Linked DNA regions of Elephas maximus indicus. The protein of the gene in region 4 interacts with the protein of the main gene of each other region in a pairwise test. Links are inferred from orthologs where the notes say so. Each region holds a gene or a part of one and is shown on either strand. Other genes may lie near its edges.

Region 1 (7,253 bases), on a different chromosome or scaffold from region 4:
TCAGGTCCTGAGCCACACTGTACAGACGTGACCTGTTTCGGGTATTTAAAAAGTTGAAACAACTTTCTCGTCATAGAAGGTTCTTACAGTCCTCCTCTGGGGCAGCAATGCCAGCAAACGCTACAGCTGCTTTGTAAAAAGAGTTTTATTTCATTTAAGAAAACCAGACTTCAAAAGTTAAGTATTCAGCCCAGCCAGTGTCTCTGGGTGGTGTGGTCAGTCCACACACCCAGAGGTGGCTCGTAAGAAAGGGCTGGCTACCTACTTCCAAAAAATCAGTCTTTGAAAACCCCATGGAGCACAGCTATGACACACACAGCATCACCGTGAGTCAGAGGTGACTCAAAGGCAACTCATTTTTTTCCCTTTTGTTATTCAACCCCAGGTCTCCTGATAAATGAATGCTAGGTTAAGTGACAGATGTGGAGTGCACGCTGTAGGAAAAAGAGCCCAACCAGTGCCTACTCATAGCAACCCTACAGGACACCACAGGACTGCCCCACAGGGTTTCCCAAGCTGTGAATCTTTAAAGAAGCTGACTGCCACATCTTTCTCCTGCGGAACCACGGTGGTTTTGAACCACCGACCTTTCTGTTAGCAGCTGAGAGCTTTAACCACTGTGCCGGCAGGACACCTCCACCCATTTCCTTATACCCTCTGTCCTGGAATCAACCACCAATGTAATACAAATGCATCTCGGCACAAACTTCATTTCTTAATGGAAAATATGCACTATTTTACTTTCATTAATCATTTTAAAATCTTCGCTTTGGGGAAAAAAAAATCTTTTTCCCCTGGTGGCTTAAATGTCTATGAACCTTACTTTACTGTGATCCAACCGAAGGACATTTTCATATCTTTGATGAAGGGGTATTTTCGTACCATGAAATCAATCTCAGTTCTGATAAACGTTCTATGAAGTAGACGTCTAAAATGGAATGGAAATTTTTGTGGGTTTCTTTCAAGGCCTTACCAAATGACCAAATTTGGACTTCTCAGGACAGGGCACAGATTGGAATAATCGGATAATGACTTAATCCACAATTCACTGCACATTTGTGATACTGAGAATACTGGAGACATTGTTTCAGTAGTCAAGTGACTAAAAACAAGCCAGAAAATTATATGCTAATGAAGTGACTGCTGTCATCATTAGCTGCCATCAAGTCAGCCCCAACTCATGGCGACCCCACGCACAAAGGGATCAAAGCACTGTGATCCATAGGGTTTTCACGGCCTGATATTTCAGAAGTAGATTGCCAGGTCTTTCTTCCTGGTCTTAGTCTGGAAGCGCCACTGAAAGCTAATCGGCATTCTAGCAATTGGCAAGCTTCCACTGACTGACAGGTGGTAGCTGCATTTGAGGTGCACTGGTTGACGGGAATCGAACCTGGGTCTCCCTCACGGAAGGAACAGGGAAGTGGAAATAGGAGAGATGGTGCTTCCAAGGCATCCATCCTCACTGAGGAGGCAATGGATACGAATGCAGAAAAAAAGACACATTTCTAAAGACCTGAGCAAGTGAGCGTCCGCTGCACCTGCCCGGCACCTCCATTCCAGGTGACTCTGCTCTGTGCTCTGTTCAGCTTCATACACAGAAAGATGGTGGACCTGGAGACCACCCTAAGCCCACTGTCCTGTGTTGCTGTTTAAAATCCTAACAATCCTACCCGCTTTTGCTCACTTTGGTGTTACCTAGACCCTGGTCATGAATGCTGGCAACAAAACAAGGGAGGGGACGTAGTGATACAAGAAGTCGCGCACTGTGTGACCTTACAGAAATGCTCAGACAGGAGCTGTGTCGCCCTGGCAAGAAAGTTTCTCTTCAGGCCTCAGTTTACTCATCTGCAATACCAGGATAATAATATCTCTTTTCTAATTGTGAAAATTAAATGAGACTATGTCTCTAAAGTCCTCGGAGCACACCGCCCCTCTCAGGACTTCTGTGCCTCCCTTCAAATATTCCCGGCAGAAATGTAGTCACCAGGTAGTGTGTCAAAATCCACGTTCTCTACTCTGCTGTACTAACACTTCAAGCGGCGGCGCTAGCTGCAGTTTGGGGGTCGTCTCTCCGTTATAGGGCTTTGATCCTTAAGCCAGACCCACAAACCAAACGGCAATCCCTGGCTTCCTCACCAGCCGGTGCAACAGAAGGGGAGCGACCGGCGCACTGGGACCGTCATGAATGTGTAACGCGCCCCGAGAGGGCGCGCGCCCTAAATCGCCGGAGCCCGGCGCTCGGAGAACTCGACCCTCCGCGCACAGGCCGGCGGGCGGGCGGGCGCGGACCGAGAGCCTGGCCCGGGAGTGTCCCCGACCTCCGTCCCCTCGCCATGCCACTCAGAAAGGCCGCCCCCCACGCGCGACCCCCAAGTCCCGGGGACGGGAGGTGCCCTTGCTCGGTTTCAGCAAATGCGGGGTCTCCGCTCTGGGGGCCGCCCCTGGGCCGGAGAGGAGGGGACCGGGGCCAGGAGAGGAAGGGGCAGGACCCGGGCCCGGTGAGGAGGGGACCGGGGTCAGGAGAGGAAGGGACCCGGGCCCGGAGAGCAGGGGACCGGGGCTCGGAGACGAGGGCACCGGGGCAGGCGCCGCACTCACCGAGCGTGGCCACCGTGCCGGCCTCGAAGAGCAGGCAGTCGCCGCGGCCGCGCGCCTCCAGCAGGACGCTGCTCTCCCCCGCGGGCTCCAGCCGCGCGAGCAGCCGCAGCCCCTTGCTCAGGGACATGGCCGGGGCCGGGATCCGGGGCCGGGGCCGCGTCGGTCCCCGCGCTCCCCGCCGCCACTTCCAGGAGTTTCACTTTGTGCGGCGCTCCCGCCGGGCGCAGGCTCCTCCCCGGCCTCCTCCTCTTCCCAGCCTCCTCCACCTCCTCCTCTTCCTCCGCCCGCGGGGCAGGTGAGAGGGCGCGGCCCGGGCCAGGGGGTTCCCCAGAGGGGAGGCCGCGTAGGGGCTGATCCTGCGCCCCAGTGGGAAGAGGGCTTCCCGGGGCGAACAGCTGATAGGAAGATGCCAGGCATTCTTCTCTGCGGAGGAGGATGAAGGCCGGGGGTGCCTGGTGCCCTGTGTAATCCTGAAAGGACGTCCGGGGCCTTATAAGGACAGCAGGCCGGCGGGCCTGCGAGGCTGAGAGCCACTGGGAGGCGGCCAAGGCCTCCCCACTGCGGCCAGGCGCTGCGCCCCCTCTGCGGTTCACCGCTGCCACCCTGAGCAAGTCAGTACAACGCTCTGTGCCTCAGTCTCTCTGTCTGTACAGTGGGAGGGAGTAATAGGGTAGCGGTGAGGAGAAACCCATTGCCTCAGAGTAGATTCGGACTCGTGGCGACCCCATGTGTTACAGAATAGAACCGTGCCCCATAATGTTTTCTTGGCTGCAATCTTAAAGGAGTCTCGTCTTGGCGCAAATGGTTAAACGCTGGACCACTAACTGAAAGGTTAGCGGCTCAGACTCAGCCAGAGGTGCCTCGGAAAGGTCACAGCCTTGAAAACCCTATGGAGCGGTACTACTCTGAGGCGCATAGGGTCGCCATGAGTTGGAATTGATGTGAGGGCAACTAGCAACAACAGATTGCCAGGCCTTTCTTCAGCAGCAGTGCCAGGTACGTTGGAACCTCCAACCTTTAGGTTAGTAATCAAGCACAAACCAGTTGCACCAGCTAAAAAATTAATTTGGTAAAGCCTCAGTAAGCGCCTGGCACAGAGTGTTCAGTGTTGCCTTTACCACTTTCTATAAATGACGATTTGCAGTCCATTGTCCATGCCAGGTGGAGCTGTTAGGGACCAACAGGACGTTGTCATGGAAGGGACAGAATAGGCCCATGTTCTCCAGACCATGGTCTGCTACTCACTGTGGGACCTTGACCTTAACTTGTCTGCACCTCACTTTCCCTGTGGGCACTGAGTGCTAGCCCAGACCTCTGCTCTGTCTGTTTTCTGCAAGCTGGGGGAAGGTGGACCGAGGTTTGGAAGTTTCATTTCTTTCTCTTCTGATGAGTAAGTCCAGATGATCCCAGAGACTTCCATGGGGGTGTCTCCATCAGTCCCCCAAACCAACCTGGTCCTCTCTCCCTGCCCCATCTTGTTCGAACTGAAGACTGTGGACCAAGCCTTTACTCCTGGAGTTGTTCCAGAAGGAGGCAGTGCCCGAGCGCCGAGTGGACACTGTGATATCTTACAGACATTCAGGAATGGCCAGACCAGGGTTCTGCTATTTGTGGGAAACCTCTCGAGTGATGATTTGGGGAATAAAGTAGATGTGAGGTGGACAATGGGGGCTGAGATTTGAATCACTCTGGAGCCTCCTGCTCTTTCCTTCACAAATTCAGCTCCCTGTGGTGGATATCCCATAGCTGTCTGAACAGTGTCTGTATCTGTAAAATGGAGATATTACTACCTCAGGAAAAAGTGTGCCCATTGAAGAAGCTGCTGGCCCACTGCTATGGATTGAATTGTGTCTTCCAGAAAGATAATGTTGAAATCCTAACCTGTGAATGTGACCTTGTTTGGAAATAGTCTTTGAAAACGTTACCAGAAAATATTATCACAAGGCCATACCAGCGTAGGGCGAGTCCTAATCCTGTATGACTGCTGTCCTTATGAGAGAGGAGAAGAAACACGTAGGAAGAACAGCCATGTGATGACAAAGGGAGAAACAGCTGCAAGTCAAGGAACGCCGTGGGTTGCAGGGGACTACCGGAAGCTAGGAGAGAGGCATGGAACAGACTCTTCCTCAGAGCCCTCAAAGGGATTCAGCATGGCTAACACCCTGATTCGGAGCCCTGGGGGTGCTAGCCAGGTCGGCAGTTTGAATCTACCAGGTGCTCCTTGGAAACCTTGTGGAGCAGTTCTACTCTGTCCTGTGGGGTCGTTGAGTTGAAATCGACTCAGTGGCAATGGGTTTGGTTTGGTTTTGGAATAACCTGATTTGGGCTTTTTGCCTCAGAGCTGTGAGACAATAAATTTCTGTTCTTACGAGCTTTCCAGCTTATGGTGTTTTGTTTCAGCAGCTCTAGGAAACTGGTACACTCGCTTTTCCTTTCCTTTTAAACCCAAAGATCGCTTCTTCCAGGACGCCTTCCTGAAATACTTGAGGTTTCAGTTAATTGTGTCAGAATGCACTCACATTCACACTTCAGTTGGCACTTGCTCACAGATTATTTGAAAAATGTTTTTATATCTCTTTTTTACAAATAGCCTTGTTTGACAAATTACAGGTAGTCCCCGTTTTACAATGGGGCTCTGTTCCAACAACTCTGTCATAAGTTGAACACCTCTTTTGTTTGTTTTCATTTCAAAACACAGCGTTTTGGACAGTAAATCATAAAACTGAATGACAGTGAGTGAACACCTGAGAATGATAATGAATTAGGCACTGCGACACTATATGTACTACATGTTACTAAAGACAAGATGTAAAAAAAGGGACATCGTAAGTTCATTGTAATTCAAATACGTCGTACGCTGGGAACTTCAATTTTTTTTTTATATATATATTAAAAAAAAAAAAACCCTTACCATTGAGCTGATGCTAACTCATAGTGACTGTATAGAACAGAGTAGACCTGCCCCCATAAAGTTTCCAAGGAGCAGCTGGTGGATTTGAACTGCTGACCTTTTGGATGGCAGCCTTAATGCTTAACCACGGTGCCACCAGGGCTCCACTTGTATGGTACACAGTAAGGTCATTGACGGGGGGACCAAGTCTTTCAGTTATTTTTTTCTCTCCCCCTCTTTCCCACCTTCCCTGGCAGCACATAATTTAAAACTCTACACATGAGTGCTATACATATTTTAGAATTTTTTCTACGGGCAGAGACCAGCACCTGAGCTTTACAGCTTCTAGAATCTACTGTGCCATCAATCTAAGGTGAACCACTACTTTATGTACCACTGAAAAAAAAAACACTGCTAATGAAACTATATATATATATATTTTTTTTTTTTTAATGAAACTATAGCAAGCCACCGATTGGAAGATAGGCCCTGATTTCGGCAATGTTCAAATGTACATCTTAGACTCCATGAGATGTAGTAGCTGTTACCTGGGAACTGCCTGAAGGAGCCGAGAGCCTGCTGGGCCCGGGCCTCTGCCCTCTGGTTTCCACAGCAGCAGAGGAGGTGCCGTGGTGATGAGCATACCGTCTTTGTCGTGTGAGTCGGGTCATGGGGCACCAGCACGTTCAGCAGATGAACAAGTAACTTCCTTTCAATGTAGCTGAAACAGAGGCCCGGCTGATCCCTCAGGAGCTCTGGTGTGGGTGGCCCTCAGACATATCCCAAATGAACCCACTCCGTTTGTCCATTAGTCATTGGATTCCAGTTGCCTCCGAGGGGGGATAGTCTCGGGCAAGGCAGGTCCCTTCAGCCAAGAGTGACATCCCCAGCAGCTGAAGAGGAGCCTGGGGTCACCACAGCACCCTGCACCCATGTCACCAGCCTGGGCCAAGCATAACCATTAGCCTGGGTCTAGTCACCCTTCTTCCTCCCTCGCCCCCTGTTAGGGATTGAATTGTGTCCCCCCCCCCCCGGCAAAATATGTTGGAGTCCAACCCTGTACCTGTGGATGTGATCCCGGTTGGGAATAGGGTTTTCTTTGTTATGTTGAGGCCATATCAGCGTAGGCTATATCCTAAACCTAATCGCTTCTGAGTTACAAGGAACAATATAAACACAGAGACAAGGAAGGACAAATGGAGGAAGACAGATGCCACATGAAGATGGCCAAGAAATCAAGGAAAGCCAGGACTGCAGAAGCTGAAAGAGACAAGGAATTCCCACCCCCCAAGCTGACAAAGAGAGAAAGCCTTCCTCTAGAGCTAGTACCCTGAATTCAGACTTCCAGCCTCCTGAACTGTGAGAAAATAAACTTCTGTTCGCTATAGCTACCCACCTGTGGAACTTCTGATACAGCCTCACCAGGGAACTAAGACACCCCCTCAAGCTGCTCGAGTACCTTGTTAAAGCAGTCATTCTGATCAGGTCACAGCATATCCCCTCGGTAGAAGCCGAAGTCTTTGCTGTGGACCCCACGGCCCCACAGCATCTGTGGTTTCCCTGCTGGGTGCTTGGTTTGGCTCACCTGCTACGCCCCAGGGCCTCGGCCTCAGGGCCTTTGCACCTGGCATACTGTTTCCTTGATTTCCAGGTGACTGTTCTCTCACTTCTGTCAGGCCTGTTGAAATATCATCTCCCTCATGAGGCCCTTCTGAGACTCCCTATGTAAATTTCCTCCAACACCCCCAACATTTCACATCGCCTC
Region 2 (6,970 bases), on a different chromosome or scaffold from region 4:
TAGCCATCCACTTAATTTATGTATTGAGGTCATGTTTCAAGGCCAACATCTCACCTCCTCAAGGTTCCCACTTGAACACTTCAAAAACCGTAAACCTTAATTCCCCAACCAAGCCCCAAAGGAACGTGACTTAGCACTAAAAATAAAGAACAGTATTTTGGAATGCAACAACTTTATTCAAAGAAAAGTGCAATGAAATTTCTTGAAAGCTTAAGAGAAAAGGGGGAACAACTTAAACACCTCCCCTCAAGCGCAGGACCAGATGCAGAGTGGACTCTTTCTGGATGTTGTAGTCAGACAGAGTACGTCCATCTTCCAGCTGTTTCCCGGCAAAGATCAACCTCTGCTGGTCAGGAGGGATGCCTTCCTTGTCTTGGATCTTTGCCTTGACATTCTCGATGGTGTCGCTGGGCTCTACCTCAAGGGTAATGGTCTTCCCAGTCAAGGTCTTCACGAAGATCTGCATTCCCCCTCTCAGACGGAGGACCAGGTGCAGAGTGGACTCTTTCTGGATGTTGTAGTCAGACAGGGTACGTCCATCTTCCAGCTGTTTCCCGGCAAAGATCAACCTCTGCTGGTCAGGAGGGATGCCTTCCTTGTCTTGGATCTTTGCCTTGACATTCTCAATGGTGTCGCTGGGCTCTACTTCAAGGGTGATTGTCTTACCAGTCAAGGTCTTCACAAAGATCTGCATTCCACCTCTGAGCCGAAGTACCAAGTGCAGAGTGGATTCCTTCTGGATGTTGTAGTCTGACAGGGTACGTCCATCTTCCAGCTGTTTCCCAGCAAAGATCAATCTCTGCTGGTCAGGAGGGATGCCTTCCTTGTCTTGGATCTTTGCCTTGACATTCTCAATGGTGTCGCTGGGCTCTACCTCAAGGGTAATGGTCTTCCCAGTCAAGGTCTTCACGAAGATCTGCATTCCCCCTCTCAGACGGAGGACCAGGTGCAGAGTGGACTCTTTCTGGATGTTGTAGTCAGACAGGGTACGTCCGTCTTCCAACTGTTTCCCGGCAAAGATCAGCCTCTGCTGGTCAGGAGGGATGCCTTCCTTGTCTTGGATCTTTGCCTTGACATTCTCGATGGTGTCACTGGGCTCTACCTCAAGGGTGATGGTCTTACCGGTCAAGGTCTTCACGAAGATCTGCATTCCCCCTCTCAGACGGAGAACCAGGTGCAGAGTGGACTCCTTCTGGATGTTGTAGTCAGACAAAGTACGTCCATCTTCCAGCTGTTTCCCGGCAAAAATCAGCCTCTGCTGGTCAGGAGGGATGCCTTCCTTGTCTTGGATCTTTGCCTTGACATTCTCAATGGTGTCGCTGGGCTCTACCTCAAGGGTGATGGTCTTACCGGTCAAGGTCTTCACGAAGATCTGCATTCCCCCTCTCAGACGGAGAACCAGGTGCAGAGTGGACTCCTTCTGGATGTTGTAGTCAGACAGGGTACGTCCGTCTTCCAGCTGTTTCCCGGCAAAGATCAACCTCTGCTGGTCAGGAGGGATGCCTTCCTTGTCTTGGATCTTTGCCTTGACATTCTCAATGGTGTCGCTGGGCTCTACTTCAAGGGTGATGGTCTTACCGGTCAAGGTCTTCACGAAGATCTGCATTCCCCCTCTCAGACGGAGAACCAGGTGCAGAGTGGACTCCTTCTGGATGTTGTAGTCAGACAAAGTACGTCCATCTTCCAGCTGTTTCCCGGCAAAGATCAGCCTCTGCTGGTCAGGAGGGATGCCTTCCTTGTCTTGGATCTTTGCCTTGACATTCTCAATGGTGTCGCTGGGCTCTACTTCAAGGGTAATGGTCTTACCGGTCAAGGTCTTCACGAAGATCTGCATTCCCCCTCTCAGACGGAGAACCAGGTGCAGAGTGGACTCCTTCTGGATGTTGTAGTCAGACAGGGTACGTCCGTCTTCCAGCTGTTTCCCGGCAAAGATGAGCCTCTGCTGGTCAGGAGGGATGCCTTCCTTGTCTTGGATCTTTGCCTTGACATTCTCGATGGTGTCACTGGGCTCTACCTCAAGGGTGATGGTTTTACCCGTTAAGGTTTTCACAAAGATCTGCATTGTCTGAGAACAGAAAGAAACAAAGGACCCAAAACTTTAGCAGGTAATTCAAACGTCACTACGTTCCTAACCCAAAAAATAACAATTTTTTACTAGACCAAAAAAAACAAAACAATTCTCTCCCAAAAAACTTCACGATATAACCAGTGACAAACCTAACAGATATGACAAATCACCTGAAACCCCAGATTTTAGCCCCTCACGAAGGCAGGCTGGCAGGCACCCTGACCGTAGAAACTCGGCAGCCTCCCCCGCCAGAACGTCTGTCCCCCGTCGATTCAGCAGGGGCTCCCCCAGGCCCACACTCTGCGTCGCCCCGTGACTGCCACAAAGCTCCCCCACACATTTACGGGCAGGCGGCCCCACCCCAGACTGTGCGCCGAACAGAGCGGGTGACGTCACGCTCCAGCGCTGCGGCCGCGGGCTCCCTCTCCGGCGGGGGCTGAGGTGCAGAGCTGGCCACGGCCACGGCGGCCGGCAACCCGGCCTTTACTCCCAGTCACTCCCCAAAACTCAGACGCCAACGTCAGGTTCCCCTGCCCAAGCCCGCCCGACAGAAGCCTAAGCTCACGCCCACCTGAGCTTCGCTCTCCCTCCGCTGAGCCCTGGGGGCGGCCTGGCGCTTCTCTCCCCTCACAACCTTCCCTCCCTCAGTTTCCTCTCTCCGACCTTTCAGTCAGAAGCGACCGCCATTTTGCGGCGTTCGTCCCCCTCACGGCCACCCTGCTGCAGGACCCAGGAGACTAAAAGCCCCGGCTGCCCTTCGCCCGCAGCGAGCAGCACTGTCTGTCCCCCACCCCTCGCAGCCGGACGGCCCCGAGGCTCCCGGGCCAGCATAGCAGGATCCTACTCACCAAGCGGCTGTGGAAACAGAGAACGCAAAGAGAAACAGAAACGAACACCGACCTCGACGGACGTCCCTGCACCACACCCGGCGCTTCTTTATATAGTCATAGCAGGCCTCCGCCCCAGGGAGATTCCTCCGCAGAAACGCCGAGAAGGAACTATTTTACCCAGCCCCTTTGGCAACCTAGAAAGAAAACTAGACCCCAAACTCATCCAAGTCCCCTCATAAAATGCTCTCCTGTCAAGACTGGGGCTTTCGGGCTGGGTCGGGTGGGCAGCGGATCACCGTCCCGAGGGGCCTGGCGGAGGAATCAGCGCGTACACAGTGCGCTGCGACCGAACGTGACCGCATCACGCCTTGGGGGAAGGGAGAGGGAGCGGGTGCCGGGTGGGGGCGGCTCGCGGCGGCGCGAAAACCCGGCGCGGAGCCGCCTGGGTGTCCGGAGCGGGTGGGCCTCCGTGGCCGGTAGCCCGACCCCGACGCCCCCCCTCCCCACAGCAACCGTCCCCGCCGTTGGCGACACCAGCTCTTGGCGGGCGACAGGTTCGGGCCGAGCGCCTCAGTCTGGGTCCGCCTCCCCTCTGGCGCGCCCCGCCCCCATCCGAAGCCAGGGGTCGTTATTTTGGTTCACATTTGAAATAATTATAGTGTTTGTTTCACTGTGTCCCCCCACCACCAAGGCCTGTCGTGAGGGTCCCCTGGGTTCCCAGCACCCCTGCTGAGGCGGCCCTGCCCACCCCCCACGGAGCTGGCACGGGGACAAGGCGAATGACTCGACAAATCTCAGATTTGCGGCCCAGCCTCTGGGCCAGGACAAAGGCCAAGGCCAAAATCCAGGCCTCAACTAAAGTCTGGTCCTAAGGACAGGAAATCTTCAAAAACAAACGAAACAGTTTTCCAATGGAGAAATGAATGTGCGTGCCTGGATTGAATTAGGAAAAAGAAAGGAAATCCCACAGTTTTTTTTTAATTATTTGCGCTGGAATTGAAAGCTGACACACAGAAATTTCTAGGCTGTTCTTTAGCTTCCTGTTTATTCGCTGGGGCCTTGGGTTTTTGTAAAGGTTGCACTTCACTGTAAACAAGAGGCGTTCGAAATTTCACTTCTGTTGATGTTCAGTTCAGCTCAGAAATCGAACGCAGTTAGGACTCATTTTAAAATTTGACACCAATTGAGTCTCAGCCTTGTATATTTTTGGGAAAAAAAATTTAAATATCCAGAGTATGAAATTTACTTCCACAGGCAAATTCCATTTTTATACAAGAGAAGAAAAACGATCACCAGCCCAGATTTTTATTTTTATGATCTCTATGTCACTTCTTCAGCTTATTTTTTAACTGTTTTAAAATATATTAACACGGTGAGAATTCAGAACAGGTTTTTATAAGTTCACAGTGAAATCTACCTCTTTCCCCTCAATTGTCTGGCCACCGTTCCATCTGGATTCTTCTAGAAATACTCCCTGCATCTACAAATGTGCGTATTTTAATTTCTAACCTTAAAAAAGTCAAGAGACAGAAGAGCCAGCTGACTGAAAAAATTTTTCTGCTATCAGGAATAGAATACATTCCTGTTTTAAGTTACAGATGTTATTTTTAAACACACTTAAAATTTTAATCAAACCAAAACAAATGCTATATATATTTTTTATGGTTGCCTGTGTATGTATTTATGAAAACACAAAAGATCTGAGTGCTGTTCAAAATAGATTTTAACCTCTGTAATTTTAAGCATTTTTCCAAGACAATGAAGTAATGTGTTACTGGAAAATTAAAAATGAGTTATAAAGAATGGAATGCCATTTTCAATGCCTTCCAATACAGAGTTCTGTGAAGGTTATTTCTCTCTAAATTTCTGGAAAGAGACGTTAAAGAAACAAAAAGTTGAGGTTCGCTATGAGGTTATTTCTCTTTAAATTTCGGTTAAAGGAACGAAAAACAGATTCTTTCTAAGGTGACCAGGCCCTGCTTCAAACCACACCCTGTTTGCTTTTGGCTGTTGCAAGTCTTGTAATTCTTGTTGCTTAAAGGCTGAGTCACGAGCTATGTGACATGGTTATCTTCAGAGTCAAAAGGTACAGAGAAAAACATCCCTGATTTCAGAGGCAGGGGAGAGAGAAGAGGAGGAAGAGAAGGCAAAGAGGAAAAAAGAAAGAGGAGGAAAGGATTAGGCCAAGGGTTACCTCCACAAAGAAAATAAAGTTCCTGTTAGTTGGGAGGGTACTTATTGTCTCCAGCAGAAAAAATCTCTGAAACACCCCCGTATTCCCTAACTTTAAGTCCGAGAGTGGGTTATCGTTGAAACAAACAAGAAGTAAACATTTCCCTGAGGACCCTGAAGTTGGGGAGAAGGAGCTTAGGGGACAGCAATGGCCTCCCTAAAGAGGTGGGTGGTTTCCTAGAGCAGTAGGCCTCAGCCAGGAGCAATATTGTCCCCCACGGGGCATTTGACAATGTCTAGAGACATTTTTGATTGTCACAATTGTGGGTTATGGAATGCTACCAGCATCTAGTGGGGAGAGGCCAGGGATGTTGCTAAACATTCTAAAATGGACAGCCTCCCACAACATATAATTATCCAGCCCAAAATGTCAACAGGGCTGAGACTGACAATCGCTGCTCTACAGAAGGATTTGTTGTTACAACTGCTTTTCTACTTGCTGAGAAGGCCACCAAGGCCCAAAGTCTGAATGTCCCCCTTGGACTCTGGAGTCAGGTATCAAGTCACGTTCCTAAAACCTAAAACCCCTGACCTACAATGCAATGTACTAGAATGTGCGAGAAGCAGGATTAGTCATTGGATCTGTTTCCAGTTCTTTCCACCCACAGATCCATCCTTTGCAAGCATCCCAGAATAGATTGCTTCAGAGCTGGCACCAATGGAAAAGTGACAGGAGCCCAGCAACAGGGCAGGATTGGCTAGCAGATGTGCGCACGTGATGGGCTGAGCTCACAAAGGGCCAGGGTGTTTGGCTGCACCTGAAGGTGGGGGTGGGGAGCGGGCAGTTGGATTGGTGCCCGTTTGTCTGCTTTTCTTCCTTTCCCCCAAAGGTTTCAGATCCCCTGAAGGTCACAGCCCTGTATGTGACTTGATTCAACATCCTAAAACTGTCTGAGAACGCAACAGTCAGCAAACATTTTTCCCCCAAGAGAGAGGAGGAAATGTGAGAGCTAGATGGGGAAAGTTTGCCTTGCTTTGTCATTGGTTATATAACCAAAAAAGGTTGTCAAGGAGATCTGCAGGTTAGAACACTTGCAAAAAAATAAAATAAAGCCCATGGGATTTTGTCATTTTCCTGTTTACACAGGTACATTTGAATTGTGTGGCAGGCCACAAACTCTTTCAACTTAAAAATGACCAATTTTATCTCCCGCCAGTCAGAAAATCAGACTGAAATTTTAGTCTCCAAATTTGTCAAATAGTACCTTATGAACTTCAGGAAGTTATTGAACCTATTTGGGCTTTGCTTTTTAAAATGTAAGATAATATTTAACAGTTGAATAACTTCTTTTTCCTCAACGATTCAACAACTCTTCTAGAAAACTCCATTTCCTAACAAAACTTTACCACCACCAACTTCTTAGGGTATTTTTTTTTCCCTTTCAGTTAACTATTAGAAACAGTTACGTACAAGATACAAAGTGAACCAGAAGCATATGATTAGTTTTGTGTTAGGCTTGATCGCCTTAGGAATCACCTCAATGTTTTGTTCCTTCAGAACTTTGACATTTAGGGAGAAATAACCTTTACTGAAGCTTGTTAGACACAAGCTGTCACCAATGCGCCACCACCTAACTGGTGAGTCATTTCATGAATTTCAGTTTCCTTATCTCAAAAATGAAGGCTTTGGGCTCAGGAACCTTCCAGATCTAAGTTTTGACATTTTTATGATTAACACTATGAGGTCAAGTCAAATTAGAGAATGGATGTGAAGAGGGGAGAAATTCATTATTACAGCAAAGAACTATTCCCATAGAATCCTTTCTTTCAATAAAAGTAACTCTTTTAATTTTAGTGCTAAAATATACCAGGTTTCAGATAGTGTACAAATATAAACAGT
Region 3 (7,446 bases), on a different chromosome or scaffold from region 4:
AGGGCTGAGGGATGGTACAAGATCCCCCTTAGAGAAGAGCCTCACCTAATAATCAGTGTTGAACCTAGACACCACATGAATACTTTTAATAATGGGGAGTGGGAAGGGGGAAATATATCCAGCAGGAGGATGAGCTAACTCTCTAGTATCCTAGGAAATGGAGTTCAGAACATGATACAGTCCATGGATAAGGAATGACATAAGAGTAACTAGTCAGGCACCAGGAGAGGAGGGAGAACTCTAAAATTGCTGATTGCTGTCTCTAGTTTTATGGACAGACTGGGTAAAAGAAAGGGCTAGCTCACAAGTGACACTGAATCTCCCAGTACCCCCTTTCTGGCTCCTAAGCTATTGATTTAAGGCAGAATGATTGCTACCATCCCTGGTGAGTGAAGGTGGCGGACGGCACACTTCAACAGTTGCAGATAAGATGGCTCATAGGCAACAACAGAATTCTTCCGTGATATCTCCCTGAGAGTAAAGTGGTTTCCTCCTAAATGTGTACCATGATAATCTGCTAAGGGCATAATTTATGTTATCACCAAATAGCTCAATTAGCCCTTCAGTTAACATTTCTACACTATCTCCATATGACCTTGCTTCCTAGGAAATTCATAGCCCAATGGAAAAACCCTTTGAACTCAAACCTGACTTTCCCCACAGACCCACGGACCCAGCAAGAAGTAGAAGAGAAATGGTAACAGAAAAGTAGGGGAAGGAAAGAGAAAAAGCAAAAAGAGAGCCCAGAAGAAGAACTGGACCCACGTTTGGCACTTATCAGGGGGCACCCTCAGCACTAAGAAGTGGCAGGGAGCAGACAGGAGTGGAAGACAGCTTTCTAGATGCCTGAGTAATGTTGTCACTCTGTGGTTGCATTATCTGGCTTCTTAAGTTGTGAATTCATGCCACCATTAAAAAAAAATTGAGAGTTATCAAATAGAGACAAAGAACCACCATGTGCACATTTCAAATAAGGTGTGTTCAGTCAGTCCAGGCATAGCAATACATTACCAGGTAATCAGTATTATCTTAATCCAAACCCTTAACATCTTGAATCCAACTTATCAAGAACCAGGGACCAAAAGTTTTCTCAGGCTGCTTCAAGATGAAAATTTCTGTAACAGTGGAGTTCCTTTTAGAAATTCTGAGGAAAGCAGAGCAGATTCTTAGGGCTGTGTTAAGGAAGGGCACAAGTCTTTCTGGTCTATCTGGGCAGCCCTGTTTTGTGACAACCTACACTTGCTGGTTTTGATGGTGTGGTGCAGTGAATTACTTAATATGGTCATTTTAACCACACACGGTCTTGTGACTCCTACCAAATGACTGGGTGGGACTATGCAAGTAAGGTGCTTGTGGCCCACCAAGGGGATTGGACAGCTTGCTAATAATGCAAATAAGGTACATGTAACCCTAGTGGGGGTGGAGTCATGCAAATAAGTTGAACGGGATCCTAATGAAGGGATTGGTCAGTTTTGCTTTCCCACTAGGCTTAAAATGAGCCATCCCAGAGCAGAAGAGTGGACCTCGCTACCACCAAGAAGAAGAGATGGAAGCAGAGTGCATCTTTTGGACCTGGGGTCCTGTGTGGAGAACCTCCTAGACACAGGAGACAGAGGGCGAGCTGTAACACTGCAAACAGCATAAGATGATGAGACACGATGGCAGAGAAACAGTAGCAGCAGAACCAGGGCCCACAGAGCAAGGCAGTTACAGTGGGTATGCCAGCCCATGGAGCTAGAAAGCTGAGCACCTGTAGGCCAAGGCTTATTGGTGGAGTCGGGTACTCCTGGGCACTTACTGGCAGAGCTAAAGAGCTTTGTAACCCTTACCCAAGCAGGGCAGAGGCTGGGCTGGCCCAAGAGGCCAAGGATCAGGAAGAGTCCTGCCTATGGGCACAGCCGAGAAGCTGTCCTGACAGAAGAACTATATTCTGAGTCTTTCCTGATCCTCATAACTGTGACTTTGCCTACATGCTTCTTTATCCTGATCCTGAGTTGTAGCCTGTTACTTCCCAAATAAACCCCATAATTGTGAGTATGTTCTGTGAATTCTTTGTGGTCACTGCAATGAATTATTGAACCCAGCAGAGAAGTAGAGAGTGACGTGGGAGGGAGGGCTGGTGTCAGAACTGGTAAAAAGGTTGGAGGGCAGAGGTATGTCTGACCTCCACCTCACAGGAATCATCAGTCTTGGGCTGATGTTGATCTTGATTCTCTCTCTCCCTTGTGAAGTTGGACAAGGAGGTTAGACAAAGCCTCTCTGCCAGGAGCACAGATGGCAATTAAGGGAATCTTGTACAAAGCTAATACACTGTGACGTGTTCTGAGAACTATTTGTAAATTACTGATCTCATACTCAATTGATGAACTTTGTGAGGAAAAGTTATATTTAATAAAAAATTATTTAATTAAAAGATAATTCACATTTGAATAAGGTCTGTTGATTAGAGGAGGCTTGGCTGTGCAGTGATTAAGCACTAGGCTGCTAATTGAAAATTTGGTGGTTCAAACCCACCAGCAGCCCCTCGGGAGAAAGATGTGGCAATCTGCTTCCATAAAGATTACAGCCTTGGAAGCCCTATGGGGCGGTTCTACTCTGTGAGTCAGAATTGACTCGACGGCAATAGGTTTGGTTTGGTTTTGGGTTTCTGTTGACCAGTTAATATTATTGTATCAATATAAATTTCCTAGTTTCAAGATTATACTTTGTTTGTATACTATATTAATATTTGATAAAACTGAGTAAAAAGCATATAGTCATTCTTTTTTGTACTATTTTTTGAAAATTTTATGTGCTGAAATTATTTCAAAATGAAAAGTTAAACCTTTTTTTTTTTTTTTAATATTTGAAAGGGTAATTCACAAGGGTTGGCAGTTCATCCATAATTTGTGCTCTGGGGGGCTGGACCCAGGAAAAAGTACCCTTTCTCCCTCTTTCCTTTACTGACAAGGTGATGAAATCCACTGTAAGTCAGATGAAATAAAGACTACGAACGTCCTTGCTAGAGTAAACTACACAAATCTTAATAGTAATAACTATATCCCCAGATGGAGGACTATAAGCAAAGGAGAGTGCAAGCCATTTGTACTACATATCCTACCAAATATTCTTCAAGCAGTTTGCAAAATGTTTCGAAATTGCTGCCCTGGCAATAGGAAACAAGGAGTCATTGAAGGGTTTTTCGAAAAGCTGCCATAAAACAAGTCATACTTCAGGGAGAGTCATCTACCAGGCCTTAGGTTCTTAGGGTGGATGAAGTGGGAAGAGACTGGACTCAGCCATTCACACTAGGAGTTATTCTAATAATGGAGGAGTGGGATGACCCTCTCTGAGTGAGCCTGGGAAGGAAGAAACTGACACGAGAGGCATTTGAACGACTCATTGGTCTGGGCGGGACTAGACTGGAGATGGGATAAAAAGAGAGAAATGAGTCAGGCAGTGGTTACCTCAAGTGTCTCGCCAGGCTGACTGATGACTACGGCAATCCTGGTGTCACTAAGAGACGGATGGGAAGTGTTTAAGGAAGGACACTCCACAGAGCTTGAATCAAAAACTAAAGTGGCTCCAGGGGCCAGGCAGGTGCAAAGGGAAGAAGACAGCAGTGGGGGCTGTGAGGCAGGAAGGCTCACCTCTCTATAGAGGATGCCTCAAAGGGAGTATCCACCTCTGGGCTCCAGCCCGACCTTGCTGTGTGGGAATGCATTTATAATGTTATCAGATTTTCCATTTTTGCAAACGAAGCCAGAAATCCAGATTTCTAGTGTGAAATCTCTTAACTCTTTATTGTTAGCTACTAATTAAAAAAAATTTTTTTTTTCTTTTAAGCATGGCATGTGCCAAACCAAACACATCTGTGGGCCAGATTCAGCAGGCAGGCTACCAAGTTGTGACCTCTGAGATAGAGAAAAGGGCAAGGGTCAAAGTTCATAAACTGTCATGGTGATACATAGGGCAACAAGTGATTGTAAAAGGATTCCATAACTAAAATACCATAAATAAAGCTTTTGCCAGCAATCTGAGCTGTAGAAATGCCCTTACTCTTCAAACCTATACACTGATTTGAATTTATACAGGAAGTTTAATCTAATCCCCAAACGGTTAACTCACAAGAATTTGAGTGCTCACTGTGTGCTGAATACACAGAAGTCTAGGAATTTCAAATCTAACTGAAGAAGCAAAAAACATGCCCTGCTGAAGGAACTTGAGACAATTTATGAAGCAACCAGGGAGATTACAACCTCCACGTTATGCTAGAATCTCAGGGATGTCTTAAATCAATTCAACTGAGCAAACTTTGTCGTAAAGCCTGTGTGTGTGTGTGTGTGTGTGTGTGTACTTGAATCCGCCACCAGGAATCTGATTTCCCGGGAAGTGATTACAAAGCCCCAGCCTCTCCTCGCCCAAGGGTATTCTTGCCTCAGCGTGAGACGGGAATGAGCTGGGGTTCGGGGTACACCGACGTCCGGGAGGACAGCAGGAGAAACCGCTCTGTCAGGCTTCTCGGCTGGAATCCCCGTCTTTGTTCCTGTCATTACTCTTCAAGTGTGTGTGTTAGGAGAAAGGCGGGCACCAAACTAGAACGTGTCCAAGCCGTGATGACAATGAGGGTCAGGACAAGGCAGAACTTTGTTTGCGGTGCCATCTAGCCCCCTCAAGCCTGCAGGCCAGGGCGCCTCCCGCCGCCGTCTTCAAAGGCAGCCTCTCCGGGGCAGGAAGCGCGCGGCTGTGGGTGCGGGTCCTCCGGGGAGAGCGCGGTTTCCTCCCGCGGCCCGGAGCCATCTCCAGGGGCGCGCGGCGGCCTCCGCAGAGCGCCTTCTCCCCCCAGCGCGTCCTCCTCAACCCACCCACCTACTTCCTCCGGCTCGGTGCACACACCAGCTCGGGGCTGCCAAAAACGTCCCCCTCCGCCCCCCTCCCTGGCTAACTTCCTTCCAGCGTTTCCTGAGCTGGATGACCCTAGGATTTGTAAGACAGGAAAAAAAGGAAGGCGTGAGGGCGGGCGAGAGAGACAGGATGCTTGTTTTTCATTTCACCACGGCCGTCTGAAGGCAAGACAGCGGGCCCGGGGACGCGGACCCACGGCGGCCCCTGGGCTGGCCCCTCGCCCCTCGCCCCTCGCCCCTCGCGCTCGTCCTCTCCCGAGCACTTAGGAAGGCGGAAAGGGGGGGCGCTCCCCTCCCTCCGAGGCAGAGGAAAAGCACCCGAAGACTCGGCAGGAGCCTGTGAAAGTCCCTGGGACTCCAAGTGAGGAAGTGACACTCCCCAGCCAGCCGGGGCGCAGCTGCCAGCTCCGCACGGCCTCCCCGCGGCGCGGCCCCGGCGAGCGGGGTGCATCCCAGGCTTGCTCGCCGCGCCCCGCGGGGTTCCTGTGCGCTCCCGCGCCCCCGGGCCTTGCGGACGCCCATGCGGCCCCCCAGAGCCGCGCTGCAGCCAGTGAGCTAAGCCGGGAGACCGTCTCCGGCGCGGGGCCAAGCAGAGGGGAGGGCGAGACGGAGGGGCAGCCTCTTTGGGACTAACTCATGAAGAACAAGGGTGCCAAGCAGAAGCTGAAACGAAAGGGAGCCGCCAGTGCGTTCGGCTGTGACCTGACGGAGTATCTGGAAAACTCGGGACAAGATGGTAATGTGCTTTCGCCTTTTTTTTTTTTTTTTTTCCTATCTCTCTCTCTCTTTTTGTTTGACAGAGAGATGGACACTTCTGGGTGTGTTAGATTCATTTCACAAGTTAAGTAATTCCAGGCCTGTGCGTTCATGGTATACATATATATATATATTAAAGAACGTACATGATTCTTAGGGCGCGCAGCGCTGCCACCCCGACGTGCAGAGGCTGGGTCAGCCCTTCCGTTTGTCTCTCGAAAGAGCGGTTACTGGGAGGTGCTGCTCCAAGCTTAACCAGCTACTCTGAGGGTGGGGTGGGAGCTGGAGGGGACCAGATCCTAAACTTCGGTTGCTGGGGGGCGCGGATTTTGTAGCCTGGTCCTGTGGGGGCTTCCCTGGGCCCATAATTATGAGATTGCCTTAGGTGTCCCTCCCTGCCTCCAATTTCATTCGCCCGCATCTTTTTTTACTAATGTGCTGGAAGGCAGGAGCTGGGATCTTGACTGGGGGAGTGGTTGCAAAAACATTTGCTGAATTTCTGAAGGAATGCTGAATATATATAGTATCTCCCTCCCTCCACCACCCGCCCCCCGGCCCTTTTTACCTCCTCTGGCTTTCATTTGGTGTCTGGGACAAGAGGAGTGTAAAAAGGTCAGAGGGCTCGATTTTAAAATAGTTTGGGCGCTGTGGAAAGAAAAGGAGGGCGTTCCTGTTTTCAAGGTCAGCTTGAAAAAAGAAGGGGGGCGATCCCGGGAAAGTAGAGACAATTTAAACATTTATTGGGGGAGGGGGAAGGAAAGCAATCTAGAACACAATAACAGCGTTTGAAGTTAGACGTTTCAATCATAGGAAAGTTGGGAAAATGGAGCATTAAATGATTCCTTTTGTAAGGTTGACTGGCCCTGCACTTATCCACGACAAAAAGGCCTTGTCTTCAGAAACTTCAGAGAGAGAGAAAATACACCACTATATGTGCCGTGTGTTTATACACAGATAACTACAACAAAGGGGGAAACTTAAGTGCCGTTTAACTATGAAGAGATTCTGCCTCCCGGGAAATAATCTGAAAAACCATTTGATTAGTCCATATCAAGTGTGCATCTCACAACAGTGCAATGCCTTCGTTTTTTTTAGGGACTCAGCACCACCTAGTAATTTGTAGTCGTGTGATGTTCCTGTGGGATCCCAGAGTTCAGAGCCTGCTGTGTCATTAGGACAAATGGCTTAGTGTTTTTGAGTTTGGGGGACCACAGTTCTCAAAATTGCGCCTTTTGGAATTGAAGCATAACTGAGGCAATTCATTTAATCCTCACCAATCATCTTGAGAGGTAGATGTGAAATAAAATCACCTCGATTGAGGTTTTTTTGTTTGTTCATTTGTTTTTGTATCAGAGAGAACTCTAACCGCTACCCTCTGAAGTTCAGAATCAAATACTTTCCTTCACCTGTTTTTGCAGGGGCCTTTTTTTTAAGGTCCAGGTACAGTACGAATGCTGCCTGGATGTCACCTTCCCTCCCCCATGTGGCTGTTTCTCTGTATCCTCTCTCCAAGGCTGAGAGAGTTGCTGGGGGGTGCTTGCTAGCCCTGCCCCTTTCTTACAGCATCCTAGATCACAGAATGCTCTGGGGAAGTTTGGGGTTCTGTGCAGATAGCTCAAAGGCAGCTTTCCGCAGCTCTTCTTTCACCTACTTTTTATATTGTGGGCTTCCGCATAGGTTTCATTTGGAATAAAAGGAAAGGAGCTCCTGCTTAACGAAAAAAATGGAAAGTCAATGCTTTGTGCTACCCACCTTGGGGAGGCGGAGAGGAAACCCAGAGAGGTAAATCTACCTGCCCAAGGTCACA
Region 4 (6,898 bases):
ACAGCACTTAACTACTACCGCCACCAGGGTTTCCATTTGCTCCTTACCAGTCCTTATTTCAAGTAATACAGCTTCAGTTTTTTGTAAAGGTACATTTCACTTCTAATGTTGCTCAGCCTTAGCCTAATATTGCTTCTTGACTACAACATCGAGAATACCAAGTACAGCATTAGAAGGCTTATTGAAAACTCAGGTCAGGAACTGTGTTTTATGCCTAGCACTCCCTCACGGAGCCTAGCTGTGCCTCACAGTAACAGAAGCAGCAAAAATAAGAATAATGGAAGCTGGCACTACTAAGCACTCACCCGGGGGCCAGGCACCTGGGAGGTACTTAATATACAGCATCTTGTTTAATCCGCGAGACTTCCCCTTGAGGCACCTCTCTTGGGGGATAATGATCTGCTCAAGGTTACCCCATAAGTGGTGGGCAGGGATTTGAAGGGAGGATTCAGATCTCATGGTAGGCAGTCAATAAGTTGTTGGACTATAAACTAGTCAATACAAATAGTAGCTAAACATATCTGCTAGCACTTATGGTTTCCCTTCTGATATTTTAAGGTAAGAATATTACATCCTATGGTTGAATATGGAATTATCAGCAATTCATTGACTTAAAAAAATACTATGTATTAGTTCATATTCAAAGTATTGGGAGCTGTGGTACTGCTATGGCTGCTAACCAAAAGGTTGGCAGTTTGAATCCACCAGCCGCTCCTTGGAAACCATATGGGGCAGTTCTACTCTGTCCTATAGGGTCGCTATAAGTAACAATCGACTCAGTGGCAATGAGTTTGGCTGTCGTAGGCATTATAGATTTAGCATTTCTAACTTTTAAAGGAAATTCAGATAATTAAAAATGTTCCTAAGAAAAAGTGACATGTTTAATTAATTCATTATGCAAATATCAAAACTTCATTTAACTGAATCTATTGATCTCACACTTAAGCCAATTAACTGAACGTGTTTTAGTCAAATGACAGAAAGCAAACCTAACTCGTTGCCGTGGAGTCAGTTCCGACTCAGGGTGACACCATGTGTTACAGAGTAGAACTGCGTCATAGGGTTTTCTTGGCTGAAATATTTACAGAAGCAGATTGCCAGGCCTTTCTTCTGAGGTACTGCTGAGCGGGTTTGACTGGCCAACCCTTAGCTTAGCAGCTGAGTGCAAACCGTTTACGCCACGCAGGGGCCTTAAAGCTTTTAAAAGGTTTAAAAACAGAAAAACAAAAAATTTTTACAAATTCTTAAGTGAGAGAAACAATTTTCAGTTATATGTATAGAACCACCAAGTATTAACACCCTTCTCACCTCTAAGTCCGACAAGTCAATCAAATGTCTAATTGTTCTTGCATCTCAATTGTCACAGAGATCATTTCAAATGTCAAACTTAGAATTAATAAATTCACTTAGAGGCATACACGCACAATCAGTACTGATGACAAGTTTGAAGCACGCTAATTAAAAGATCAGTGACTCCAGAACGTCTCCTTCGACTCTACACACTTGAGAATGTATCAGTTGCGTTCTGAACGTGACGAAACTGGTAGTGAGTTTTCAAGCTTCCCTGTTAACACCAAACTACACGAGCGAGGCTGAGACGCACAACACCGCTCGGATTATACTGAGAGTCTTGTTTCTATGGGAGGAAAAAAAACCTGCATAAGACAAGTCTTGTCTTCCTCTAGGGCCTGGAACCCCCCCAGACAGTAATGAAAAGAAATGCCTTGAGTCACAGGGCAGCTCCGCTCTGGCAGCCTGTTCTGCTACACCCCATACCTAACGCATTAAGCGAAGGCCAATTTTTTTTTTTTTTCTGGTGGGGGGACCACATCATGTTCAACGAAGGGAACAATCTTAATCACACCCAGCTCCTTTCTTCACAGCTAAAATCTTAAACGCTTCTCCCAGAGAGCAAATTGACAAAAGCAGCACAAAAAGAGTAGATGGGAAACTTAGGGGGCAGTAAGTTTATGGTAACGAGGGAGGAACAACTCAGAAAAGGAGAGGGGGGAATGGTTGAACAACTCGAAGAATGTAATCAATGTCACTGAATGGGACGTGTAGAAATTGGTGAATTGATGAATGCTCTGCGCACATTCCCAACAACAAAATGAAATGAAATATATTTAAAAAGTTTCTCTAAGAAATAGCAAAAATAATCATCTAAAAGCCCTAGAACCGGCGAAGCGCAAGTCGAAGATATCTCATCACAAAGAAGTTTGGGGTCGCCAACCCCGCCCAGGAAAACATTCATCCAACATTATTAACTTGGCCACTGTTGCCCACGAAAGCGCTCAATGGGGTGCATGGGGCACGAGAGGATCCTATAAAAGCCGACGGTCCTTCTTTTTTTTAAAAGGCGACTCTAAATCCCACCTAACCGACAGGCAAGTAAGGGGAGCGTGGGGAGCAGCGCTGGGAGGGGAGTTGGGCATTCGGCGACTCCGGCCCCGGCGCCCACCGCGGGCCCGGGAGCAGGGCAGGAGCTGGAGGGTGGAGTTCACTTTCCCTCCAGCCGGCGCTCATTCCCTCCTCCACGTACAAAAAAAGGCGGAACCAGGCCCGCGCAGCCCGGTCCCGGGAAGAGGGGAGGGGGTCCGCGCCGCCGCCGCCCGGCCCGGGGAGGGGAGGCCGGGCCCGGCCCCTAGGCGAGCCCGCGGCTCCGGCCTCCCCGGCCAGGGCCGCCCCCCGCCCGCGGCCCGACCCCCGCCCGCGGCCGCCCTGCCCGGCCCCGCGCACTCACCCGTCTCCCACCACCACACACTTGATGGCCTGCATCTGGGCCGCTCGCGGGGAGGCGACGGCGGCCGCGCGGTGAAGCAAGAAGCGGCGGGCGCGGGGCGCGGCGGGCAGGCGCGCAGCTGCGGGCGGCGGGGCGCGAAGTGCCGGGGCCGCTGTCCACGCCGCCTTGCGCTCAGCAGACTGCGAGCCGGAGCCGAGCGGCAGCCACCACCCAAAGCTGGAGGAAAACTGCAGAGAAACAGGAAATGGCCGCTCCACTCACATCCGGCCTCCCCTCCCCCGCGCCGGCGCCGCCGCTCCCAGGCTCCGGGGCGGGGCAGCGCCCGCCGGCCCGCCCGCGCGGCTCCCGGGGGGCTCCTCTGGGCTTCGGAGACGCCCGGAAGCTCTCGGAAGCGCTCGGCTGCGACCGCAGGGCGAGCCTCAGAGGGCCGCTTGGCGGGCGGGGCTCCTCTTGGCTTCGGAGACGCTCGGGAACGCCCGGAAGCGCTCGGCGGCGGCTGCGGGGAGGGCTGCCATCTTGGGGTCACGAGCCTGTCTCTGGCCGGTCGAGGTTGTGGGGGCGCCCTGCGCCTCGGGGACCGGCCTTGGAGTGGGGGATTCTTCTCGGCACAGCCCCCAGGATTTAGGCATTGAAAGATGCACTGAGTTCCAGGAGCCACGCTTACGCAGATCAGCTCCTGTCCGAGGTCATCTGAAGGGTATTGATTCCAGCCCACACTTTTTATTATCCATTTTATTGTGATAGTCACCTAAGGTCTTTCTAGAAAATTCGGAACCGAAAACTATATCAAAACATACACCGCACCAGTGTTCAGAGAGAACCCATGTTCATTCAGCAAAAGAAAGTGTTTAATTTTCTTCTTCTGTGTTATCATCTTGTATTATTTTTAAAATGTATTGAGGGCCAACTGTGCCCTATGTTTTGTACCAAGTTCTAGAGATGAAACTGAACAAAAATGCCCTTGTCTTTATACCAAAGCACTAAAGTTCGGTATATTTCCTAGTTAATTTTTTATATACGTAGAGAACCAAACCCACTGCCGTCGGGTCAATTCTGACTCATAGCGACCCTATAGAACAGAGTATAACTGCCCCATAGAGTTTCCAAGGAGCGCCTGGCAGATTTGAACTGCCAGCCTCTTGGTTAGCAGCCGTAGAACTTAACCATTACACCGCCAGGTCTTCCGTACGTACATAGAGAACATGGTTTTAATAAAATTGAGAGATCAATGTTAGAACATCGTTAATGGCTGCTTGCTATTCTATTATGCCCACGTAACTTAACCAATTCTTCTGTTACTGGACAGTTGGAATGTCGCTAATCTTTATTATAAACAATGCTGGAATGAGCGTGTTTATGGAAGAATGTTTTCCTATAGTTTTATTTCTTTGGACTACCAGTAACCAGTTGTTGTTTAGGCGATTCTGACTCATGGCAGTCCCATGTGTGCCCATGTATGTCAGATTAGAGCCATGCCCCATAGGGCTTTCAGGGGCTGACTTTTCCGGAGTAGATTGCCAGGCCTTTCTTCTGAGGTGCCTCTGAGTGGACTTGAACTGCCAACTTTTCAGTTAGCAGCCAAGCTCATTAACCATTTGCATGACTACTTTTACCATAAATGCAGTTACTGGGTCAGTACCTGTGAATGTTTTTAAAGCTTTTATACATACATGTAGTTGAATTGCCCTCCTGGAAGCTGATAATCAGTTTACACTCCTATCAGCACTGTTTGAGAGTGGACCCTCCAGAGAAGTTAATTTCCACTTGTATTTTCATCTTAGTAGGACCTTCTTTCCCTATGACTTACTCTTTTGCCCAGTATTGAACCAGTTTTCTGAAATCAGACCCTTTGAATACAAGTATATATTTTTTTTAATTTTTAAAGCATTTTTGGCTTACAATTATTTCAAAATAAACATATTCCCAGGGCAAAGGGCACCTTCTTTTTGCTCTGTTCATAAAGATCACCCTTGAGGAATAGTTGAAATTTCAAAGGTGATAGAGAAACAACATCCTGTTTTCTGTCACTGCTGAAAAAATTTTCTAGTTGACAAACCTAACTACTCAGCATGATTACCTTCATGTGTTACCAGGGCCAGATAAAAGGGTGGGGACTCATCAGTAATACAGTTCAAGAAATATCAGTGTTGTGCTGTTGTTTTGTAATGAACTGGTAGTAAATAAACCAGACAGAGACATAGTTGCCAGGACACCAGGCCTACTGTGCTCATTGTTATAAGTAGATTACAAGTATGGTGGTTATCAGAAGGCAAAGCATGGAAAAGATATTCATGCCTACAAAAAGGTTTTCTTCAAAGAGATGACAGTTGAGCTGAGAGTTGGAAGATGGATTTGGATAGGATTTTTAGTGGGTATTGATGGAGCAAGAAGAAAAGAGTTTTCCACAGAGAGGACTTTATTCATAGGTTACATGGCCAGCAGAAGAGTAGGCTGTCCTCAGATGTGACACAGAGAAGACAAGCGTTTGCACTGTTCAGGTCTCGAATCCAGAGAAGTATTCACAGGCTGGATGACAAACTGCATTGAATCTGGACTTTATTCTTATATTCCTCATTTTATTAATTCAAGAAGTGACACAATAAAATTCAAATTATTATTTCTCCAGATTGGTAAAGTAGAAGTCCACTATAAAGAGGTTCGACTGCGAAGCAACCAAACTAATGTTCAGTGCACATATAAAAATCATTCTTAATTTAAAACTCAGTGATCACCCTTCTCCAAGTTTTTCCTTCAGTATCTACTTATAATTTTCCCCACAGAAACAAGTGATCAAAAAAAGTTCCAATTAAAATTAATAAAAGCAAATAAATACTCAATTAGACCATGCGTGTTTCTGAACGTGCTACCTGGTTAACTCATTTATCAAGTGTATGGAATCCTGTACCCTGTTTAGGTCCTTCATTCAAGGTCATTCATTTACTCATTTCCTGAGCACCCACTTCTGTTCCATTCACTGTCTAGGCGTTGAAAGTGTGAAATGAACAAAACAGAGCCCTGCCATTGTTGCTAGGAGCTCCAGGTTCTGCTCAGCACTACTCCATCCAAAATCACAGAGACTGAGTTGGGAAGAGGGAAAGGCAAGCAAGAAGACAGTCGCGACTTTGTGCCATCCAAGACTGCCTGGCGGGCAGTTTGTTAAAAAAAAAAAGGCTGGTTTATATAGGAAAGATTAGTTTCAGAATACAAAATGGTGCAGGCACAGAGCATTTTAAAATGAGTAAGCATTTTCTAAGTCCTGGGTTCAATTCCTCATGGAGGAGGAAGTTAGCCATTTTTGTTTGTTAGCATGTTAGCTCTCAACCCAGGTGCAGAGAATTTACCACACATGAGGCAGTTAATGAGCTAAAGGTTATCTCTAGTGCCAAGATGGAGGGCAGGACCTGTTTTGGTCGATTTTGGCTAGCCGGTGGCTATTTCTTTTCAAAGAAGTTCTGAGAAGAAAAACAACTTTAGGAAATGGGCTGGGTGAGGGGCTGTCCTGAGGAGACAACAATTTTAAGAAAATGGCTGTAGCCCTGTCTTATCATCAGAGAATCTACATTCTAGTAGGGGAGGTGCATAATGGGCAAGTAAATATACAATACAGTGCAGTTCATTTCCAGGTTAAGATGGTGGATCACAGAGATCTAATTTCATGTCCACCAAAAACCTTGTAAGAACTTCAATAAAGGAATTAAAAAGAAAGAAAGAAAGAATCTTGGAACAGGGAATGGGGAAAAAGACATCCTGATGTCAGAAGCTGAAACCAGATAAGTAGATGAGGGGACAGAGTGGTTGCAACTGACTTAGCCACCTGAAACAGACCTAGACTGGTAGTGAGAAAAGCTGATCCACACCAGCTCTGTAGCAGAAAATCAGAGGCTCAAAACCAGCAGCACTGGGTCTTTATGGATGAAGGGAAAGATAAGGAGGATGGGGCGAAAGCTGAGAAGCTTGGAGCCCCCTACCTTGCCTCCCACCATGCACTAAGCAGAGGGGCCACCTTCCCTCCCCTCTACAAAAGACTGGAGATTCCTTTCTAAAACAAGATGAACCAGGGAATCTTTAGATAATGAGACAAAAACAAAGGAACTTAGTAGCCTTAGGCAGAGACCTCAGTCCCTCCCAGCTTTCACTTTGCCCCTATGGCTCCAG

Evidence for each region.
Region 1: the proteins of RAC1 (region 4) and SYNJ2 interact in a two-hybrid assay, tested with the Homo sapiens proteins (2 studies listed by BioGRID and IntAct). The link is inferred for Elephas maximus indicus from reciprocal best matches to the Homo sapiens genes RAC1 and SYNJ2.
Region 2: the proteins of RAC1 (region 4) and UBC interact in a two-hybrid assay, tested with the Homo sapiens proteins (2 studies listed by BioGRID and IntAct, with this or other methods). The link is inferred for Elephas maximus indicus from reciprocal best matches to the Homo sapiens genes RAC1 and UBC.
Region 3: the proteins of RAC1 (region 4) and ARHGAP31 interact in a two-hybrid assay, tested with the Homo sapiens proteins (2 studies listed by BioGRID and IntAct, with this or other methods). The link is inferred for Elephas maximus indicus from reciprocal best matches to the Homo sapiens genes RAC1 and ARHGAP31.

Annotation. Positions count from the first base shown.
Region 1 is NC_064819.1:230,244,251-230,251,503, reverse strand, and holds the start of SYNJ2 (synaptojanin-2), read right to left. Parts: upstream 3,013-7,253; 5' UTR 2,726-3,012; coding exon 2,599-2,725; intron 1-2,598. UniProt on the Homo sapiens protein: Inositol 5-phosphatase which may be involved in distinct membrane trafficking and signal transduction pathways. May mediate the inhibitory effect of Rac1 on endocytosis.
Region 2 is NC_064840.1:5,697,696-5,704,665, reverse strand, and holds UBC (polyubiquitin-C), read right to left. Parts: upstream 3,025-6,970; 5' UTR 2,917-3,024; intron 2,066-2,916; 5' UTR 2,063-2,065; coding exon 233-2,062; 3' UTR 154-232; downstream 1-153.
Region 3 is NC_064819.1:9,631,678-9,639,123, forward strand, and holds the start of ARHGAP31 (rho GTPase-activating protein 31), read left to right. Parts: upstream 1-4,422; 5' UTR 4,423-5,519; coding exon 5,520-5,619; intron 5,620-7,446. UniProt on the Homo sapiens protein: Functions as a GTPase-activating protein (GAP) for RAC1 and CDC42. Required for cell spreading, polarized lamellipodia formation and cell migration.
Region 4 is NC_064830.1:100,915,352-100,922,249, forward strand, and holds the start of RAC1 (ras-related C3 botulinum toxin substrate 1), read right to left. Parts: upstream 3,016-6,898; 5' UTR 2,779-3,015; coding exon 2,744-2,778; intron 1-2,743. UniProt on the Homo sapiens protein: Plasma membrane-associated small GTPase which cycles between active GTP-bound and inactive GDP-bound states.